Linked DNA regions of Arabidopsis thaliana. The protein of the gene in region 1 interacts with the protein of each later gene in a pairwise test. Each region holds a gene or a part of one and is shown in the gene's direction. Other genes may lie near its edges. The genes, in order: GOX2 and AGT.

What was found.
Region 2: the proteins of GOX2 (region 1) and AGT interact in a two-hybrid assay, tested with the Arabidopsis thaliana proteins (one large-scale study listed by BioGRID).

Annotation. Positions count from the first base shown.
Region 1 is NC_003074.8:4,816,744-4,821,822, forward strand, and holds GOX2 (Aldolase-type TIM barrel family protein), read left to right. Parts: upstream 1-1,554; 5' UTR 1,555-1,793; exon of another isoform or gene 1,794-1,833; intron 1,834-1,907; 5' UTR 1,908-1,923; coding exon 1,924-2,060; intron 2,061-2,159; coding exon 2,160-2,284; intron 2,285-2,395; coding exon 2,396-2,442; intron 2,443-2,560; coding exon 2,561-2,638; intron 2,639-2,715; coding exon 2,716-2,840; intron 2,841-2,944; coding exon 2,945-3,029; intron 3,030-3,141; coding exon 3,142-3,204; intron 3,205-3,289; coding exon 3,290-3,359; intron 3,360-3,447; coding exon 3,448-3,548; intron 3,549-3,635; coding exon 3,636-3,740; intron 3,741-3,819; coding exon 3,820-4,005; 3' UTR 4,006-4,263; downstream 4,264-5,079. Other genes in the region: AT3G14410 (Nucleotide/sugar transporter family protein), read right to left, coding at 1-76, 173-285, 405-439, 537-644, 1,008-1,109; GOX1 (Aldolase-type TIM barrel family protein), read left to right, coding at 5,061-5,079.
Region 2 is NC_003071.7:5,537,965-5,543,193, reverse strand, and holds AGT (alanine:glyoxylate aminotransferase), read left to right. Parts: upstream 1-1,784; 5' UTR 1,785-1,959; intron 1,960-2,258; 5' UTR 2,259-2,291; coding exon 2,292-2,781; intron 2,782-2,864; coding exon 2,865-3,231; intron 3,232-3,350; coding exon 3,351-3,561; intron 3,562-3,639; coding exon 3,640-3,777; 3' UTR 3,778-4,170; exon of another isoform or gene 4,171-4,180; intron 4,181-4,258; 3' UTR 4,259-4,454; downstream 4,455-5,229. UniProt on the Arabidopsis thaliana protein: Photorespiratory enzyme that catalyzes transamination reactions with multiple substrates, including asparagine. Functions exclusively as a catabolic enzyme in Asn metabolism.

The DNA of each region.
Region 1 (5,079 bases):
GACATTATCAAAAGCATCCTGCAGCTCATCATTTCAAGTCCAGCAGCTACTCCAAGAATAAACACAGCAACAGGCACTGCAAGTATGGTTGAAGAATACTGTACATTGTTAGTCAGATATAAGAAGTAAACATAAGACTTATGAGGAACCAAGAGCATGAACAGTTTCTTACTTATAGCCTTCAACATCTGCGCAAATGCAACTGATATGTAGAGGTAGGCAGTGTTTCCCAACCAGAGGGTCATTGCAAACATTGCACCTATTGGAATAACTGACGTAACATATCTGAGTACATAAAGTGAGTTAATACTGCTACATTGATAAAATTAGTAAAGATATTTATGTTATGGGTATTTTCGACTACTCCAAAATCAAATTCCTTACGAAGTCTCTTTCTTCCTTACATTTCTAGTGTCATTCCTTCCTCGACCTTCACAATCTTCATGGAGAAATAAATAGAGAACAGAGAAGGGACCAAAAGTTAGGCAGTCTTTACTTGTGAACAAAAACAGAAAGAACATTAATTGCAAGATTACCTTAAGAACTTTGGTAAGAAGAAAGCACAAGACAGAGGAAAAGATCATATGGAGTAAAGTCAATCCAAGAGGATAAGGGAAATTAATTTCCTTAGATGACAAAACCCACTGCAGCAGAGCAATTCAAAGACAAAAACGTTAGTCATGACGAAAAGAGAGAAACCACAATCTATGAATCGTTACTTGCTACAGATTGTAAAACGGTGAACTCTGATGCATAAGCAATAACAGAGAGGTCAAAAGCAAACACAACACGATCAAACAAAAGCAAACGGATGTTGAATTCTACACAACCGAGGGATTCTAAAATCTGCTAGTCAACTTCCTAGAAACTAGCACAGTACATTGCACATACCAGCTCAATTCCTTACGAAAACTAGCGATCGGTTTCTACAAATCGAAAGAGCACAAAACAATACGATGCGAGAACATAGATCCAGGGAAATATAGATTGTGAGATTTAAGGTAAACCTTATTGAAGAAGATTTGACCACTAGAAAGAGCGATATAGAGAAGAATGTAAGCATAGGTCACGAATTCAGCTCTCATAAAGCCTTTGCTCCGATCCGCCATTGAAACCGATTATTATGATCTCAGATTACGGAATAAAAGTTGTCGCTTCTGGTTTTTATGTAACACTTTTCCGAGTGCTTTTTGTTTCTTTTCCAATCGTCTTCTCCTTCACTGAGTATTTCACTTTCCCATCTTCTCAAATTTCAACAACAGCTAAATAAGAGCGACGGTGACGACTTTAAGTGGGTCCCACTTTTTATTATCCTCTCTCATTTTATGGGCTTTTCTCACATTTAAAGCCCAAATACTGTTGGGTTTATAAGCTATTGTTATGTTTCGTCAAGCCCATGAATTTGGTTCTACCTCGCACACTTTTTTTTGTTTCAGTTTCATCATCCACCCTTGGATATATGTCCAATGAAAAGAAATGAAAATTATTAAGTATTTTTTCTCGAGATTGTGAACGATAATATGAAAGAAATGTAAGGAACACACAAGTTGCTTGTGGATTAGACCACAACCCATCTGATATTTGTCCGCATCTCCACAACCATTCTTCACCTCCAACTTCTCATCCATATTATAATCCAACTTGCCAATAATTTTTTCAACTGTTACAGATTACTACATCAACGAAATATTAAACATTTAACCATATATAAAAGTTGGAGATATATGATATAAGCTTTTCTTAGCAGTCCCACCCTTCCTCTCTCGAGAGAGCTCCATTCCAATCAAAGCTGTGTAAGATTCTGTGTTCTAGACCAAACAGAGACGCGTCTGTGTTCTGGAGATTATAAACATATGTCTGATAATCACAACTGATAACTAACTCGGGGTTTTTTGCTCTTTTGACAGAAACACACTTCAGAAGATGGAGATCACTAACGTTACCGAGTATGATGCAATCGCAAAGGCGAAGTTGCCTAAGATGGTATATGACTACTATGCATCTGGTGCAGAAGATCAATGGACTCTTCAAGAGAACAGAAACGCTTTTGCAAGAATCCTGTGAGTTTTTCTTTTCTTAATAAGATAAGATACACTTTTTGTTATTGGTTTTCACAAGAGAACTGAGTTTGATGTACATAACTTGGGATGTTTTAACAGCTTCCGGCCTCGGATTTTGATTGATGTGAACAAAATTGATATGGCGACTACCGTCTTGGGGTTCAAGATCTCGATGCCGATCATGGTTGCTCCTACTGCCTTTCAAAAGATGGCTCACCCTGATGGTAAAAGACGTTTTTCTTTTTTCCTGAAACAGTCATTTCTAGAGAGTTAAAACTTGTTTTAGTATCACTAGAGACAAAGACTGAGGCTTACTCTAATGGAAACTAATGCAGGGGAATATGCTACGGCTAGAGCTGCGTCTGCTGCTGGAACCATCATGGTATGTTATTATATTCAAAAGAAGATTTTAACCGTCTTGGTGTTTATAGCTGCTTAATCCACCAATCCATGCATAACCAAGTTTCTGGTTTGAGTTATTTTCTTCCATGATGTTTCAGACACTATCTTCATGGGCTACTTCAAGTGTTGAAGAAGTTGCTTCCACAGGGCCAGGAATCCGATTCTTCCAGCTCTATGTAAGTTGCTTGATGAACAATTCTGATATACCTGTGGTCACACGTGATGGTTCACACGTTATGATTGTTCTGAGTAGGTATACAAGAACAGGAAGGTGGTTGAGCAGCTCGTGAGAAGAGCCGAGAAAGCTGGGTTCAAAGCCATTGCTCTCACTGTAGACACCCCAAGGCTAGGTCGCAGAGAGTCTGATATCAAGAACAGGTAAAGCCACATCAATTGAAATGTGATAAGAGTTGATTAGACTCGAATATGCAAACATATAGCTAAACAATTATAGAGTAACGATGTGTGTTCTTCTACTACAGATTCACTTTGCCTCCAAACCTGACATTGAAGAACTTTGAAGGTCTTGACCTTGGAAAGATGGACGAGGCAAGCATCGATCAGATAGTATCCATTACTTAAGTCTGAATAGTGTCAATGATCCACTTAAAAACTAGCTTTAAAGCATACGGTTTGTTTCCTGATTATGTTCCTAAACTTGTTATGTTTCCACCTGCAGGCCAATGACTCTGGCTTGGCTTCGTATGTTGCTGGTCAAATTGACCGTACCTTGAGCTGGAAGGTAAGAGAATACAACAAATTTTCAGATACCACAGCAAAACCAAAAACTTGATTCAGATTGCTCTAACTTTCATCTACAAAAACAGGATATCCAGTGGCTCCAAACAATCACCAACATGCCAATTCTTGTCAAGGGTGTTCTTACAGGAGAGGATGGTGAGTTTCCATTTGCCAAACAAATAATTTCAACACTCTAGTGTCATAGAAATACCTGACAAGGTCAACTATTATTGTCCCCATGCAGCAAGGATAGCGATTCAAGCTGGAGCAGCAGGGATCATTGTGTCAAATCATGGAGCTCGCCAGCTTGATTATGTCCCAGCAACAATCTCAGCCCTTGAAGAGGTAGATCATTCTCGACTACAAACATAAATCTGTGTTCTCGATAAGTATTTATGTACAAGCACATTAGCTTTGTTCTCTTGTGTTCAGGTTGTCAAAGCAACACAAGGACGAGTTCCTGTCTTCTTGGATGGTGGTGTTCGACGTGGCACTGATGTCTTCAAGGCACTTGCACTTGGAGCCTCTGGAATATTTGTAAGCATCACATCATATATCCATTCACCAGAAAGTTGCTTAAAAACAGTAAATATTTAAAATGCCTTCTCAATCTCAGATTGGAAGACCAGTGGTTTTTGCACTAGCTGCTGAAGGAGAAGCCGGAGTCAAAAAGGTGCTTCAAATGTTGCGTGATGAGTTCGAGCTAACCATGGCACTAAGTGGGTGCCGGTCACTCAGTGAAATCACCCGTAACCACATTGTCACGGAATGGGACACTCCACGCCATTTGCCCAGGTTATAGAGAAGAAAAAAAAAACAGAGAACAGAAACAACACGGCACCAAAACGTATTCATATTCTGATTGATCACTTTGCTTCTACTCTGCTATATTTATATCTCGAAAAACTTGTTTCTCCCTATATCGGATCACAAAAACGTGCGTAGAGATTCTCTGTAATGCTATTTGGCTACATTTTACCTTTCCGTTTATTCTTATTGCTTGTACAATAGATGTTGATTCCTACAATACCAATGAATACTAAAATCTGTTCCCGGAAAACTAGTATAGTCAGAAAATCTTACATTGCACCCAACTTCCACAATCCAAACACAGTTCAAATCTTATATTAACAGCAGCCAAAACCTCACAGAAACTAGCTACCAAAAGAGCACAAAAGAATACTATAGGAGAACTCAGATTAAGGAAAGACAGGTTTGTGAGATTTACAATACCTTATTGAAGAAGAATGTAAGCGAATTCATCCTTCACTTTGTGCTGGGCTAAGTATTGCATCGAAAAGCCCAAAATAATTTGGCTCACGAATTCGAAACTCTTGGATTTATGCACTTTTCTGAAAAAAAAAGAAAAACGATTGGTTTACGAATTACTACTATTTTTCTACGAGATTAAGAACGATAATATGTAAGAAAAATCTAAGACACACACCATCCATCAGATTTTTGTCCGTATCTCCTCATCAATTCTTCACCTCCAGCTTCTCATCCATATTTCTTTCTTTCCAATGCAAACAAGTTTTCAACTGTTAAAAGATAAACCAAAAACTCACAAGCCAATTAATCTATCAGAAATATTTAACTTTTAACCAAATAAAAACGTTGAGATATATATAATATAAGCGTTCCTTACCACTCACACACTTCATCTCTCCCCAGAGCTCTATTCCCATCAAGGTGTGTGAGATTCTCTGCTAAGACAAACCAAAAACCAGATTGTTTTGCGTTCATGGACATGTTCCTCTCTGGAGATTAGAATCGTAGCTATGACTATGTCTGAATTTCACAAGAGGTAGCTAACTCAGGCCTTTTTGCTCTTTTGACAGAAACACACTTCGGAAGATGGAGATCACTAACGTTA
Region 2 (5,229 bases), on another chromosome or scaffold:
TTTGTTCTCTGGATTCGCATTGATCCAACAAAACATGCATATTCTTGGTCATAGGTTGAGGGTTATGACTTTCATTGATCATGTTTGTTTTAGACACCTTATTGCTACTTTGCTAGGTTGATTTTATCTCAGTGTGGAAACACTAAAACAAAATGATTCCATATACTTTTATTTGCATTTAAATATCTCCAATGTTGAGTAATAAAGAGTTGTATTCTAACTTGTTTTTCTAACCAATTTTTTTATGCAAAAGAAATTCAAACATCCTAATCGTATGGCCAAATATAGTTTGTATTTTACAAAGTCTCCATATTCTATACATTCAATAGATATTCACCTAAATATAGTTTGAATTATGTGTCGTCTAGTGCAATAATAATCCTAAACATAAAACAAGAGAGCGAGAGATAGTGAAGAAGTGCCCCGAGGATTCGGCGTTTGGTCGTGTGGTCTTTGTTGCAAAAACAGGTTGTGTGGCTCTCTCCCTTTTATCTCCTTATCTCTCCTCTTCCCTTTTCCACCTCTTATCTTTCTTACTTTCTTATATTACAATATCCCTCCCTAATTCCATTATATATTTTGTTTTATCCCCAAACCTTTTCAAAGTCAACTCCGTCTCCCACCCCACTCTCTCATTATATAAATATATATTTTGCCAAAAAATTCGTGATGGATCCTAATCTTCGTGGATCAGAATAGTAACGTGCAGTTCAACTGCGGATAAAGTACAATGCAGTTCTAATAGTAACGAAAATATCTACATACACTGCACCGCACAATGCGGTTCGATCACCGTTCGGAACCTTTTTTGGAAACAACTTTCCTACTAAGTGGATTCGAATCAAAATTCTCATCTTTCAAATTAACTATTAGACCAAGAACCTCTTGGTTTATCCAACTATCATCCTTTTTTCATTCTGAATTTTACAGAAAAAAATGTGGTGGCTAAGTAAACATAGGTTGCATGTATGCATGACTTACTAATACTATTATCATGGTTCCAATTTTTTTATTTTATTTCGACTAATGTTTTTAAGTGCTTTCATCTTTAAACAAAATCTGAGCCTTGTAATTGAACTCAATTATATAGTTTTGGTAAGAAATTAACTATGAAAGATGATGTCTAGTCAAAGGATACCAAGCTTTTAGGAGATGTATTGGAAAATGATCTGAGTTTTAGTTGAGTTTTTATATGATTTTGATGATTTTAGGAAAGTTGATACGAATTTTTATAAAATCTTTTCAAATTTCATCTAAAACCGTATAATTTGGATTTCTATATTTTTAACTAAAATGTTTTTCTCAAATCTTCTCCAATCTTTCAAAATTAATAAGAATCAAATTGACAAACCGTTTTCAATAACAATAAATTTTTAAATTATTAGTTTAATAACACTAAATTTTATTATTAAAATTATTAAAATCCATAATTAGATAACATAAAATTTGTAAATTTTACACAAATCACTTAAAATACTAGATTAAATACACTCTTCGTCAATAAACAAATTTAGTAAGCGGGTTATACGGCGGGTACACTCACCAAGAGTTTTTAAGAAGATTAGTCAGTGGTAAGAGAGTCTTGATCTCTGATTAAAAAAAAAGAGTGATTTGATTATTATTATTTTGAACACGACAAAACAAACTAATGTGGAAAAACTGAAAAATATAAGAGAGAAGAAGGGCAAATATGCAAAGGTAACACAAATGCATTGTGAGCCATACGTAAGCTCAAAGATTTTTCACGTTGCTCTTATCTGCCACGCGGCCAAGATTCCAATAAGGCAAGCTACTTGATTGGGATAAACTAAATAACAAAATAAACTACTTACAAAAACATCATGTAATTTAAAATAAATAAATAAAATAAAAAAAAGAAAAAGAAGAAGATATATTAAAGAGGTTTGTGAAGACGAAGGAGTCCAAAACCTCCCTCAGGAGCTTCCGCCTTATTCAGAGGTTAAACTTCTCTCTTCCTTGCAAATTTACTTCTTCGTTTTCTCCGCTTGTTTGTGTCTATGATCTTGCCTATGAAACATCTTTTTATAGTACACATATATGTTGTCTTATTGGAAATATGATCGGCTAACATATTTGTTATTGTTATTAACAAAAAAAATAACATTTGTTATTGTTCACCGGAGTTGATAGTAGCAATAGTACATATTACATGGTCATATATGCATATGGCTACATGTTTGAGTTATATTCGATTATCTGGTGAAAGATGAGATTGTGAGTTTGTAAGTTTTTGACAGTGTAGAGGAGGATCCAAAAGAAAAGAGGAAAAAATGGACTATATGTATGGACCAGGGAGACACCATCTGTTTGTACCAGGACCAGTGAACATACCGGAACCGGTAATCCGGGCGATGAACCGGAACAACGAGGATTACCGGTCACCAGCCATTCCGGCGCTTACGAAAACATTGTTGGAGGATGTTAAGAAGATATTCAAGACCACATCAGGGACACCTTTTCTGTTTCCCACGACCGGGACTGGTGCTTGGGAGAGTGCCTTGACCAACACGTTATCTCCTGGAGACAGGATTGTTTCGTTTCTGATTGGACAATTTAGCTTGCTCTGGATTGACCAGCAGAAGAGGCTTAATTTCAATGTTGATGTGGTTGAGAGTGATTGGGGACAAGGTGCTAATCTCCAAGTCTTGGCCTCAAAGCTCTCACAAGACGAGAATCATACCATCAAAGCCATTTGCATTGTCCACAACGAGACCGCGACCGGAGTTACCAATGACATCTCTGCTGTCCGCACACTCCTCGGTCATTAATTCCTCACAAATAATCTGTTTTTCTTTTGTGTTTTCTCTGTTTTAAATCTCACTTACATTAGGGTTTACATACAGATCACTACAAGCATCCGGCTTTGCTGCTAGTGGACGGTGTTTCGTCCATCTGCGCGCTTGATTTCCGAATGGATGAGTGGGGAGTGGACGTGGCCTTGACTGGGTCTCAGAAAGCCTTATCTCTTCCAACAGGACTTGGTATTGTCTGCGCCAGTCCTAAAGCTTTGGAAGCTACCAAAACTTCTAAATCTCTCAAAGTATTCTTTGACTGGAATGACTACCTTAAGTTTTACAAGCTAGGAACCTATTGGCCATACACACCTTCCATTCAACTTCTCTACGGTCTTAGAGCTGCTCTTGATCTTATCTTTGAGGAAGGACTTGAGAACATCATCGCCCGCCATGCTCGTTTGGGAAAGGCCACCAGGTAAATGAATCATATAAAATGAATACACTTAGTCCTCTTCGTAATCTTGATTCTTACTAGTACATTGACTTTGGAAAACATTATAGCTAGAGTTTGATTGTTAATGATCATGTACATAGGCTTGCGGTGGAAGCATGGGGGCTGAAAAACTGCACACAGAAGGAGGAATGGATAAGTAACACAGTGACAGCAGTTATGGTGCCTCCGCATATAGACGGTTCGGAGATTGTGAGAAGGGCATGGCAGAGGTACAACTTAAGTCTTGGTCTTGGTCTCAACAAAGTGGCTGGAAAGGTTTTCAGAATTGGACACCTAGGAAATGTGAATGAGGTACATATCGAGATTTATCTTAGTGTAATCCAATTTTCATTGACCAAACTCTTATCAAACAATACAAATCGAACGCAGTTGCAACTTCTCGGGTGTCTTGCGGGAGTGGAGATGATACTGAAGGATGTTGGATACCCAGTTGTAATGGGAAGTGGAGTTGCAGCTGCCTCTACTTATCTTCAGCACCACATTCCTCTCATTCCCTCTAGAATCTAATCCATGTGGTCCTTCTCTTTCTTTCTCTTCCTCTCAATGTAAACAAACTCTCATGTTTTCTCTTTTCTTCATCTATATTTTTACTACATTATCTATGTTTTTATTTGCTATCTCCAACAAACTTATTGAACAAAAGATCAAATATGTTTATTACTCACTATAAACTTTGTCTCAACAACTTCAACTTATATGGGTATGAGGGATGCTCTTACAATGTTAGTGGAACATAACTCGAGTCTAAAACTATGTTTGGGATGAGGATACTCGATCGTCAAGTGAAAAAAGATAATTTTGATCTCTCATCCATTTATATGGAGGTTGGTTTAAAGACACTATAGTCGGGAGAAGGTGTCCCATTTCGCGGTATGAAGTCGAAGACGACTGAGATATAAGGTCTACATTTGGCGGTATGAAGTCGAAGACGACTGAGATATAAGGTCTACATTTCGCGGTATGAAGTCGAAGACGACTGAGATATAAGGTCTACATTTGGCGGTATGAATCAAGAAGACTTATTTCAAGAGGGGTCTTATCTGTGACAACAAAAGGAAACTCTTGTTGATGCTTTCTTATGCCTAGTCAGTAATCACAATGTTCTGCATATACAACCTCCATATTAATAAGAAATATTGAAATTCTTTAAAATGTATTTGCGTCTTAACGCTTTTAGTTTAAACACTTTGACCATTGACAAAATAGATTTATCTCTTCTTTTGTATGAACGTTATGTAACACCCAACTTTTGGCCAAACCTAAAAAAATTGAGTTAAATTATCAATGAGTTTCGATACGCTATTACTCAACAGATTTAATCTTTATACATCATGATGAATACTTTCACTGCATAGCATTTTCTTTTAAAAAAGATTGGGTTAAGTATATTGATTTTAACTAATTGGACGTCGTTATTTATGAACCATGGCTACGTACGTACGGATAGCTAGAGTAAACCCATAGCAAACCAACGGTAAATATTTAGACATAATAGCACTTATTCTTATTCAATCAACTAATATGGCTATATATGGACATTGACAAAAAATTTGTAGCCATATCATATGATCATAAGTATGATTTGACCATGCCTAAAAGATTCTACCATAGACAGTTCACCGATATTCCTAGCAAAATGGAAAGGGATGGGTTAAGAAGTTGGAGCAAAGGTTTTAGTGGACGTAAAGAATTCTAACTATCAATTTGAACTCGTAAGTTTTGTTATTTTTATTTTGTTTTTTGTACTAGCAATCTTTTACTTTCTTAGAACGCACATAGAACTAAACAGAACTTCCATAAGTCAATCTCTATAAACTCTGGAATTATACAGAAAAATAACAGAAACTAACCTAAAATAGTGAAAGAGAGTAGAGAGATCTAAAAATATCGCAAGAAGATCAATGAAAGAAAATAGTAGTCAACGGAAAGTAATGCAATTGATTCGGTGTTCTAAAATAA